Linked DNA regions of Caenorhabditis elegans. The protein of the gene in region 2 interacts with the protein of the main gene of each other region in a biochemical or structural test. Each region holds a gene or a part of one and is shown on either strand. Other genes may lie near its edges. The genes, in order: snf-6 and stn-2.

Region 1 (5,173 bases), on a different chromosome or scaffold from region 2:
AGAGCTTCCGGATAATTTCCACCCAAAAAATTCAAATTTCCCACTTAAAACCCGCCAAAATTTCTCACCTTAAACAACGGAACCACCTTCCAAACACTAATCGCAGCCGACGAGGAGAACTGTCCAAGTACCATTTCCATAAAGAACATTGGTAGTGAGGCGAGGCATAACATACATAAATATGGTACAAGGAATGCTGCACCGCCATGTTGGAATACTAGAAATGGGAATTTCCAGAAACTTCCTGCAAAGGAAGAGAAAATTGTAAAAAAATTAAAAATTTTCCAAAAAAAAAAATTTCTTTTCAAGATTTTCCAGAAATTTTCGCGATTTTTCACTGGGAAATTCAAATTTTTCGTTAAAATCTTACAAAAAAAAATTCCTAATTGAAAAAATTTGAATTTCGAGGGGGGTACGGTAGCTTCGAAAGTACGCAAACACCGAATTTTGCGAAATTTCGCACAATTTGGCTGAAAAAACAGTCACCGGGGTGAAAATTTGCGGGGAATTTGAATTTTCGCATGAAAATGCTGGAAAAATATATTGAAAGTTGGAAATTTTAATTTTTTGTTGATAAAAACGTTTTTTTTTCGAACTTTCCAGGAAATTTCAGGAATTTTCACATTGAAGTTCGAATTCTCCGGTTTATTTTGCCGCTATTGGACTTTTTTCCCAAAAGCCAGTTTGAAATTTGAATTTCGAGGAGTACGGTAGCCCCAAAAGTACGCAAACACCTGCTAGGCACCGAACCTTACGACAATTAGTCCAAATTGGCTGAAAATCGGGTTACGGGGGTGAAAATTGATGGAGAAGCCGAATTTCGTAATGAAAAACTGTGAAAATCACTGGAAAAAAAAAAATGAAAAACACGAGTTTTCGGGAAAATAGAAAATTTGGGCATAGCTTCCGCATCTCCGAGTGACAAATGTGCTCTATTGTCAAATTGTTGGCAGAAATACGGTATTTATTCACATTTTCAGCCAATTTAAGGCTGAAAATGTGAATAAATACAGTTTTTATGTCATCAATACGAGTAGAAGCACATAAGTCACGAAAATATCGATTTTTAGAAGATTTTAGGGATTTAAACCGAAATTTTTGTGATTTTCCAGTTAAAAATGTTTTTATTTTCATTATTTGAACCAAAAACTCCAAAAAAAAAATCGATAAACATGGCTAGGAACCATCATTTTCAGATTGGTGGCCTAGAACCCCCGAAAGTTAGGCCATCAATCTATTTTGTTCGAAAAAAAACCAATTTAGGGTAAAAATGAGTGGAAAACTCAATTTCCAACTGAAAATTTGAAAAAAATTACTAGAAATGTGAGATTTTCGCTTTTCAAATCATTTAGACCCAATAAATGACAATTTAAACTTTTTTTTCCAAAATTTTGGTGTTGAAATTCGTTTTTAGAAGAAAAAACTATAAAAAATCAATAGAAAAGTTAATTTTTTTGGAAAAAATAAAGCAAGTGCGCTCTATTGAGAAATTACTGAAAATTCGATTTTTTCACTGATTTTGTCTGGTTTCAACGTGAAAAATGCGTTGAAAAATTGAAATTTCGAGTTTTTTTTGCAGAAAAATCGATATTTTATCCATTTTTCCACTGAAAATCCCAAAAATATCCAATGTTTCACCAAAAAAAAATCCCCCAAAACAAGAGATGTTAGAACTTTAGAACACACACACTCTCTTATCAATTTATAATCTTATCAATTTCTCGCACGTACTCATTTCGTATGGTCAGATTATTATCTGCTGATATCGTGGACTTTGGCCCCTGTTTTCGCCGAAAAATCGTAAAAATTCCGGATTTCTGGCCTAAAAATTAGGGAAAATTATTGGTTTTTTCCATGAAAAAGCAGTTAAAAATTGCTATTTTCATCAATTTGATGCGAAAAAACTTCAAAAAGCCCCCAGAAAATCAACGTTTTTACAAGAAAAACAACGACACTCCGCTAGTACACCAACGCGTGTTGTTTAGCGGTTTGGCGGGAATTCAAATTTCTCGCTTTCTTACCAACTCCCGCTGTGAAACCAATTACTGCTAGCAGATAATCCGACTTGTTACTCCAATTTCCTGAAAAAATTTTTTTTTTCACAAAAATTTTTTTTGTTGGTATTTTAGCATTTTTCAATAAAAATTTTGGTTTTTATGGATTTTTTCACACAAATTCGTGTTTTTCACGTCTCCAGCTTCAAAATGACCCCCATCATGCCCTGTTTCCGTGCAATTTGAAAAATTCGGGTCTCGCCACGCGGGGTACTGTAGCACCGGTTTCAGCTGTGTCGAAACTACAAAAGCTCAAAATCAACGTATTCTGGTCATGTTGGGGGTCATTCAAAAGCTGCTGACGTGGCGAATTCAATGAAAACAGTTTGGTGGCCGAGTTTTGGATTTGAAGGCCACCAAATCGAAAAACGTGGATTTTTGTCGCACCTCGTATCCTATTTTCGTCTCCGACACCCGTAATCTCTTCGAATGGATATTCGATGTCACCTTCTCGTGTGTAATCGGGCAATTTTGCGTCGAGCTTGAAAAATTTCAGGGTTTTTTTTGCGAAAAAATCAGTTTTTTCCCTAAAAACTCAAAATTCTCGCTGAAATCTTTAACAAAATGGCGGGAATTGGTCGTTTCCCGCCGTAGATCAAACGGAAATTTGAATTCCCGCCGACCGCGTGGAGCAAGTGCGCTCCAGCGGACTAGTGGCGGGGAATTTGATTTTATTTATTTTTTCGGCAATTTTTCAGCAAATTCAATGATTTTATTGGTTTTAGGACAAAAATTAGTGGAAATTTTCATCAAATTTTGTGGTTTTTTTGGAATTTTTCACAAAAAATCGATAATCATCCAAATTTTTCGGGAAAAACGTCAAAATTATCCGTTTTTCTCGAATTTTCCGAATTTTTCCACAAACCTGCTTAATAAACGGAGGATATAGGCTCATATCCACGTTGTTTCCGCTTGCCATGCCCCGTCCATTCCTCTGCTCCGGATCGTTGCTCGAAACCGACATTTTCGGTGTGGAAAAACTCGGTTTTTCTTGGAAAAATCGATTTTTCGTCGGTTTAAAACCTGAAAATTAGCAATTTTCACGATTTTTTGAGCTATTTAGCAAGAGATTGCGAAGAAAAATACGAATTTTAGAGTAAAAACGAAAGAGAAACGAGGCGACGCGGCGGCCCGTTGTTACACAAATTTCGGAAGCAGTTGGCTCGCCCGAATTGAAAACATACGTGAAAAGCCGGGGAAAACGAATGAAAAAGTGAGAAATTGTGGGAAAATGTGGGAAAAATTAGTTTATTTCAGGAAAAAATTGGCTATAAATCGGTTTTAATGAGTTTTTAGCTGAAAATCAATAATTTTCGGGTCAAATTTTAGATTTTTGGGGTCAAAATGCTGCAACTCACTTCCAGAATTCAATTTTAATTATAAAAATCGAAAATTTTAATGAAAAATTTACGTTTTTCACGAAAAACCGCTCTGGAAAATAAAAATGTTCCAGGTTGCCAATGCAAACGCGCTCCATTGAGAAATCGCTTGTTGGCGGGTGTTTGAAATGGAAATTCTGATGAAATAAATTAAATTGGGTTTGGAAGCATCTTTGTTGGTTGAATAAAGCATTTATTATGAAAGAAATAAGATTTAAACAAAAAAAAACCATTTTTACAGAGAAAATACCAGAAAACACCGGAAATTGTTAGTTTTTTTTTGAATTTTTCAGGAGAATACCAACATTTTAAAACTAATACCGGTGCAAACCGAAAATCCACTAGAAAAACTCTAAAAATCACGAAGACTCCAAAAATCACAGTTTTTCTTGAAATCAAGTTTTTCTCGAAAAATCTATATTTCTCTGGGGAGTAATTTGTGTAGTTTTTGGTGTCAAAATGCGGCTAAAAACATTTTCTGTTTGTTTTTCGCATTTTCAATTGTAAAAAATCCCTTAAAAATGGTGAAAATTAGGATTTTCCAAAGTTATTAAAAATTGACTCTGCAATTGCGCTCCATTGCTACGCATGAGAGAGCAGAGACGCAGAGTACGAATCATGCAATTTCAGGTTATTTTTTGATTTTTTACAGGAAAAAATTGTTTTCACAATTTTTTCTCAATTTTTTTTCAAATTCCAGTTAAAAAATATGAATTTTCGTCGATTTCTGCACACAACATATCGAATTTCCACTCCAGGTACCCGAAAACCCCATTATTTACTCAGTTTTCCGCGCGGAAATCGCAATTCTTTTCAGAATTTCGCCAACAATTCGAACTTCCCGCGCAATATGACTATCGGCAGTGGTTTCCAATGCATATGTCCGTACAATTGAAAAAAATGGAAGCGAAATTGCGATCCGTCGACTTGATAATTGAGGTTTTGCATGGAAAATGGAACTTTTACGATTTTTTTTTTGGAAAATCTGTAAAATCACCGGAAAAACGCTGAAAAACCGAAAAACTGGTGTAAAAAACTGGTGTAAGAATTTTAGTGAATTTTTCCGCCTATAAAAGTTGAAAAATCGGGAAATATTGCAAAAATCGACATTTTTTCCAGGTCCACGACGCCAGAATCCCGATTACCGGCCGAAATCAGCAGTTTTTTCGACATTTATACGCTATTCGACCGCATATTCTCGTCCTGAACAAGTGTGACTTGATAGATATGAAGAAATACAAGTGAGAACCCGGAAAAATTCGAAAAAATCCGGAAAAAACGCTTGAAAAATCAAGATTTTCAGAATTTCTCCGAAAAATTTTGGATTTTTTCGACGAAATTCGGCTTTTTCTCAACGAATTTAGTCAAAAATTGCGATTTTCCGACAAAAATCCACTTTAATCACCTAAAAATTTGAATTCCCGCCGACCGCGCAGTGCAAGTGCGCTCCAGTGGACTAGTGGCGGGAAATTCGAATTTTTGGCTATTTTAGCGCGATTTTTTGCACTTTTTTAACGATTTCTGGGTGAAATTCGACCGGATTTTTATAAAAAATGAAGAAAAATCGATTCTTTTTACCTTTTTTTCGGAAAAAACGCTGTAAAATCCGAAATTTTCTCAAAAATTCCCCATTTTCAGGCACCAAATCGAGGATTATTACTACGAGCGGGGCGTTCAAAAAGTTTTATTCACAGACTGCAAAAAACGGCTTCCAAGGTGATTTTGGAGCTGAAAAATTCA
Region 2 (6,821 bases):
AGGGAGAGAGTGTCTGAATCTGGTGCTCAGCATGACACAGAGAGAGGAAAAGAGAGAAGAATTGGCAACACGAAGAGGAAGAGCATGCCAAATAAGAATGTTTAACATTTTGCATTGATTTTTTCTATTTTTAAGAAAGTTATTATAAATAAAACGAATATTTAGAAAACTTATTAGTTTTCTTTGAGTAAATTTAATTAGTTTTTTTTCTTCAAAGACCACATAACCAATTTTTCTGAAAAAGTTATGTTTAGATTTTCCAATGATAAAATACCTTGTTGACAAAATTTAAAAATAACAATTGATATCATCAACAAGGAACAGTCGATACATAGACACATTAGGGATTAGGACCGTAGACACCACGGGGACTGTACTGCGTACTATGCGCTGGAAATGACGCGCAATGGAGTGCAATAGAGACCAGCATATAACTATTTCAATGAAAATGGGAGATTACTTATTTAATAATCGGTATTTAGGTTTTATAATCTCACATTTTAAAAAATAAACTAATTTTTCCATCAAATTTTCCATATTAATAATACGTGATACACGTGTTCCTCTTCAAGTTTAAGTGGTTTTCCAAGAATAAAAATGCAAAAGGATTTCGAACATTTCCATTTCTGATAAATTAAAAAGGTGTTATGATTCACAACAAGGTTTAATAAATAACAAAATACGTGCGTACTTTGAAAACAGTTATATATATCTAATTTTTAAAATTAAAGTTCATGTATTTTGTCGTTTAATTTTTGACACTATATGAGCGGGTTTAAACAGTTTTCCTACTGAAGGTACTCCGTTTTTAATTTATATAACAAGAAGAGCTACAAAACACTTTGTGGTTTGTTTCAAGCAGAGAAAATGTGATCACACATATGTACTCAAAGAAAAAATCACAATTTTAGTCTCTCTTGATGACTCAGTTGACTAAAGGCAAAAAAGTCAGCCTCGTTTGCACAACAACGATTGTGAAATATATTCCGTTGCCTTTCTTTTTTGCCAGTTGCGGAACATTTTCATATGTGTTTGCGCCGCCGAAAATCGTCCATCATTCGAAATATGGAAAGCGAAACGATGTGTCTTTGTATCTTCAAAACGGCATTTCTCAATTGAAGCTCAATGGCTCATTGACATTCGAAGTGAAGACACAGTGTAGGGTCACGGCGCTAAAATGCGTGTTTTCCCATTGTTTTAATGGGGAAAAAGGACAATAAGAGTAGAAAACGGCAATTCGTCAAAATGATTGATTATATTCATCAATTAGTTTGCAGGAAACAACATGCAGAAATGTGGAAAAGATTTCAGTGAAAGTTTCAATTAGTTTGGAAAATCACTAACTGTTGAATATGAATAAACAAATGGAGAAAAAACAGGGATGTTAAAATTTTTATCAAAAGTCACTCCTCAAAAAGGTATTCCGTTGCGGGGAATCGAACCCCGGCCTTATGGGTGAGAGCCATAAATCCTAACCACTAGACCACAACGGAGATGGGTGAGCAATGGTCGCTGCTTAATGATAAGAGTACAGAAAACTTTGTGACTGTGAACAATGTGTAGAAAATTTTATCAGTCAGAAAGCAGCACGCGAAGAAATTGAGAAAAATGATGGTTGCCTTTCCGGCAATCTCTTTGGCAACAGTTCCAGAATTTCAGCTCTTATTTTATATCTTTTAATCAGTTTTCAGACTATGATCAAAACTTTGTTGGATGTTAAAAATATTGGATGACTCGTTTCTGATATTAAAAATTCAAACCAGCTGTTTATCATCTTGTTTCTCACTTCCTTCAACTGCTCGTTTTTGCTGTTCGTCTATGATTCCGCATCTTTTGCTGTTGTAATGTGTGTATTACACCGCTTCCGATGAGCAGATAGGATAGATTGGAGCTCGGGCGCTTCAAAGTTGACTCGTGTGAGGTGGCACACACACACGCATCTTTAGTCCCTCTAGTTCATTGTCCTTCATTTTTGCTACATTTTATATTCTCTGTTAAACAAGGCTAAATGTCCGTTACGAAATCACACCATAATCTGGATGTGGTAAGTTTAGCAAATATTATGAAATTGTTGGTTTTTAATGGGCATGTTTAATTTTTGTATAGTACATGCCAGCAATCTGAAGTCTTATGAAATACAAGACTTGACAATATGTTAAATGAAACAAATTCCAACAAAAAATTTCAGGTTCATCATGGAATAGTACTCATTAGTGATGGGAATGCCACTTCTAGATCGTCACGACTGCTTTTATCCAAAGGTAAGAGGAAATTAAAATGGAACTTGAAATAGAAATAAAATGGAACCATCAATTTTTGAATGTATGCATTTTTTCCACACTTCTCACATGGGGCCTATAAAAGCCGCACAATTTGCGAAAGCGAGAAGGGCCTGAAAAACGAGGAGAAATGGGGGAGAAAAACGAAAATAAAAGAAAAGTGTGCAATGACGGCCTCAACTAGTCGTGTGAAAACTTTATTAGGCAGCTCATGGCGCGGAAATTGGTGCCTAGCCTACAATTGAGTTGTTGAGAAAAGAGGAAAAAGCTGTCAGGGTCCCGCATCTTCGTTTTTGTCTTGCGCTTCCTTTGCGCTTTTAAAACTCCAAAAAAAATTTGGTAGAAATGACATGAAAATGGCATGAAAACTATATAAAAAGTCATCCAAAAAAAGAAATATCGTAACATATTCTTGCAGATGAGTTATGTATTCAAGTCATTGACGATGGTACCGCGGAGCCCGAAGAAGCCAAAGAAACATTTCTAGAAAATGCAACTCGGCAAGTTGTCATAGTTAAAAAACCAGACTCGGGGTTCGGATTGTCTATTAAAGTGAGCAATTGAACAGGACCGGTGTAATACTTAGAACTATTGCAGGGAGGATCAGAAAATGCACAAAACATGCCAATAGTAATCTCCAAAATATTCAAAGGATTGCCAGGTAAATCGTCAGATTTAAAATTTTAACATCTAGAAAAATACTTAAATTACAGCCGACGAATGTGGAGAGCTATTTATTGGAGATGCTATCGTAGAAGTAAATGGAATATCCATAGAAGGTGAGGGAAGAAAAAGAACGAGTAGTCTTCATTAGTCCAATCATTTGGTTCCCCTCTGGGAAATAGGAACTGAAAACGAATGAGCGTTCATAGCAAAGACCAAAAAGTTAAACTAGTTTTTTTTTAAATAATAGAAATAAAATGGAACCATCAATTTTTGAATGTATGCATTTTTTCCACACTTCTCACATGGGGCCTATAAAAGCCGCAACAAAATAACTTTTGGCAATTCACGTTCAAAAATTTAACATAAAAATTTAAAAAAAAAAAACAAAGTTGTATTGAATAATAAAACAAGTCATATGCTGTACTTTCCCTATTATACTTGCTCCTTCTCTGTTGGATGGGTTATATATGCCGTCCTAAGTTTCATAACAAATCAATTTTTTTTCAGTTGCCAATTAAAAAAAAACCAAAAAGAACTAACTAAGATATAAGCTGTCAAAATCAAGCAAGGGCATGATGGTACAAGTCTAATAGGGAAAAAAAACGGTAGACTATTTTTTCATATCAACTTCCAGGTCAAAGCCACGACGAAGTGGTTAACATGTTAAAATCAAGCGGTGACCAAGTAACTTTGGGTGTCCGCCATTTCACCCATATGACGCCGTTTCTAAAGTGAGTTTGGTTTTGTGGCGAAAAAAATTTGCTACTCAAGTCAGTCCCATGCATCGCCTTTCTTCCTATTTCCCGCTTCCTTTTTCGATTTTCGACGTGGCGTTACTTTGGCGAGAGGACACACAAAAAAAGTATGGTTGAAAAGAGTGGAAGAAAGAAGCATGAAAAAGAAGGAAAAGGACGAAGAAACATGAGTAGAAACAACTGATGGATTAGAGTGTAGAAGAGCTCTGCGCAGGGGGTGGTTTGAGGCAAAGCACGCGGAGCCTTACGCCATCCTCCCTGATGAATGCTTTTCACTGCATTTGAAATTCAAAAATGTGCGCAGTAGGCAAACTGCCGAGGGACACACAATGTTTTGCGCAGAGTATATAGTTGCATTTGATTTTATATCGGGGTACCAGAGACGTTGGAGTGACTACTTTTCAGACCAGCACAGTCATTGCAACCCGATGGAACATTGGATCAGCTGTTTGATGGAAGAAGTACAAGGGTAAGAAAAAATCCTAAGCTTCCATTTTGAAATTATTTGGAGTTTTTGCTTCAGAGCCACAAAGCGCAATCCGAATCCCGACTCTCCGACTCGAAATGGCAACAACATATTGACGGACGGGAAAAGAAATGGAAAACGTTGACGTCTCTTCCGTTGGCAATGGCTTATGTCACCAGATACCTCTGGGGAACCGACAATATCAGGTTTGCTTCAGATTTTATTTTCGTAATGAATACATACAACGGGGAGCTTTTTGTATTTCTTGTTCAACAAAACTAAAATTTTACAGGACAAACTCTTTCGAAGTTCGTGCAGTAGATGGAAGATCGTCGGGAATTGTGCATTGCGAAGATACATCGGCGCTGGAACAATGGATCTCGCACATCAGCAAACATATATTGTCGCTCAACCAAAAGAGTATAAAAATGAGCAACAAGTACTTGCATCAGAGTGAGCAGGTCAGTATGCAATGATATGACTTCAATGTTTGGTAGGCACGTTTGGTTGCCTTGAAACATCTGTTAAAAATACGACATCGGAATTAAAAATTAAATGTTTTCAGCACACATCAGATTAATGATCCAACATTACTGACTATGAAGCCGTTTTAGGTGTCCAGAGAATTATGGGTCGAATGATGTATTTTCTAAAAGCTAATACAATGGAAATTACGAATTCAGAATAAAACTTTGCTTAATCTAATTTTGAGGCAATTATTTTTGCTTTTGTCTGCTCGATTTAGGATACTTGATGGAAACATTGTTGTTTTTAAAGCCGACTATCTTGTTGAAAATTGAATATTCAAGAAAATAGTCAACTAGTAAATCTACTAACATTATGCACGGTTTTTGCAGTAAATAGTTTAAATTAATGTTTTTTAGATCAGCTACATTGGTTGGGTGAATGAATACTTGAATGATGATGATCAAGAAGAGCTTAAAATCCGCTGGCAACCTCGCTTCTTGATTTTAAAAGGCAGTGATGTCTGCTTCTTTGATGTTCCGCCGGTATGTTTTTTTTTTAATTTTTGAACTTATTTTACATGATTCTTTTTTTCCAGCTAAACTCTGAAGATCTCAACAAATGTGTCTACTTGTACAAATGTTATGATGTTGCTGTAAAACAGGTAGATTATCAAAAAAAGTAGTAATTCTAGAAGGGATATCTACAGGTCCCAAACTCTAGTCCACGAAGAGATAAGCGTGACAATTGTTTCTTAATAGAAACTCCATTGCAAGTTCCAAATCACTACCTGTCATTTGAAGCTGTATCTGCATTTGAACTTTTTGAGCAAGCATATTACCGAACCGTATACAATACCATTTCCCAAATGCAGGCAAGTTTATTTAAATTATTCAACAACAATAACAGTTAACTTTAGTCCCGAACGTTTGCCTGTAACTTTGAAGGAAGAGCCAGTGGAATCGTTTTTGACATTAAACAGGGAATTAGTCTATATGATATTCCTACTAAGGTAATACTATTTCTAACTGTTATTGATATTGATACAATTTATTTCTAGAGTTACATTTGGCAATATCGGTTCAGAGATTTACAAGCCGTTGCTGATGATGGCAAACTGTGTGTCCAGTTATCGTTCAATGATGATCGTTCATTGAATTCCGATAGAATAGAAGTAAAGGTTAGTGGTTTTGCAACTTTCCGAGTCAAGTACTCAAATTGCAGGACATCGAATGCGAAGATGTGGTAACAGTTGTATTCAACCTTCATTCCTTTGTTCTTGCCAGAATTGTTTCCACTGATCCAGACTATTTGAAGGCTAATCGTTATGTTGGAAATGCAGAGGACTAATGATTTTTGATTTTCAAAGCATAAATATTTTTTTGTTGTTGTTCAACTGTTGTTTAAAACAAAATTTGAATCATGAGTTAAAGCTAGGTTTTCAACATTTTTTTATTTCAAACTAAAAATAAAAACAATCTGCATGCCGTAGTCTACCTGTAACTTATGGACCAGTTTTGAGTCATATGCAAAAAATCAAAATTTCATTGAAAACATATGACTTTTTTCAGGTTTCTGGCACAATCAAATTGTCAATTTCAAAAATCCTTTATTTCAATAATCATAAATTCTAATTCTCAAAGAATTATATCGATAACAAGATAAAGACACGCGATGAGTCAAAATCAACCGGTTTCTGTTTGCCGTAATATTGCACTTACAACAGTACTCGAAAACTCAAACAAAGGTGAAATAACAAAGTAAAGAGTTGCCTAATTCAAAGGCTCAATCTTCTTCGTCTCATATTTCTCGAATGGAACCATTCTCACACGCAATATAATCCACGCACTAATAAGGACTACCAGCTGAAATCGTTTGGGTTTCTATTGAATTAACTGCAGCAATACTCACGTTCACAATTAGTATCAACCATGGAATTGAAGGGCCATATAATGTGTAAACGTAGCTCATCAAAAGTGGAGCAAGCATTCGCCCAAATGATCCGGCCATTTGGTACACACCTTGATAAGTTCCCTTGAAATATGAACTATTAGAATTCTATTAACTCATAATATGATACCTGTGGTCTCGGGCCTATTACTTTGGAAAACAGTGTAGTAACGGTGATATTCATAAACGAAAATGCAACACCAAACACCATAATGAATCCAATATAATATACCTGAAAAG

Evidence for each region.
Region 1: the proteins of stn-2 (region 2) and snf-6 form a complex in vitro, tested with the Caenorhabditis elegans proteins (one study listed by BioGRID).

Annotation. Positions count from the first base shown.
Region 1 is NC_003281.10:1,529,751-1,534,923, forward strand, and holds the start of snf-6 (Sodium-dependent acetylcholine transporter), read right to left. Parts: upstream 3,078-5,173; 5' UTR 3,019-3,077; coding exon 2,920-3,018; intron 2,536-2,919; coding exon 2,442-2,535; intron 2,082-2,441; coding exon 2,022-2,081; intron 245-2,021; coding exon 69-244; intron 1-68. Other genes in the region: mtg-1 (CP-type G domain-containing protein), read left to right, coding at 4,143-4,191, 4,251-4,372, 4,553-4,674, 5,072-5,149. UniProt on the Caenorhabditis elegans protein: Mediates sodium-dependent uptake of acetylcholine at neuromuscular junctions during periods of increased synaptic activity, may also prevent spillover to adjacent synaptic sites.
Region 2 is NC_003284.9:7,675,712-7,682,532, reverse strand, and holds stn-2 (PDZ domain-containing protein), read left to right. Parts: upstream 1-1,913; 5' UTR 1,914-2,008; coding exon 2,009-2,044; intron 2,045-2,188; coding exon 2,189-2,261; intron 2,262-2,697; coding exon 2,698-2,831; intron 2,832-2,876; coding exon 2,877-2,940; intron 2,941-2,992; coding exon 2,993-3,058; intron 3,059-3,579; coding exon 3,580-3,676; intron 3,677-4,105; coding exon 4,106-4,169; intron 4,170-4,223; coding exon 4,224-4,372; intron 4,373-4,458; coding exon 4,459-4,627; intron 4,628-5,050; coding exon 5,051-5,176; intron 5,177-5,229; coding exon 5,230-5,295; intron 5,296-5,340; coding exon 5,341-5,505; intron 5,506-5,550; coding exon 5,551-5,643; intron 5,644-5,691; coding exon 5,692-5,811; intron 5,812-5,855; coding exon 5,856-5,981; 3' UTR 5,982-6,022; downstream 6,023-6,821. Other genes in the region: mfsd-8.5 (Major facilitator superfamily (MFS) profile domain-containing protein), read right to left, coding at 6,404-6,496, 6,543-6,665, 6,712-6,813.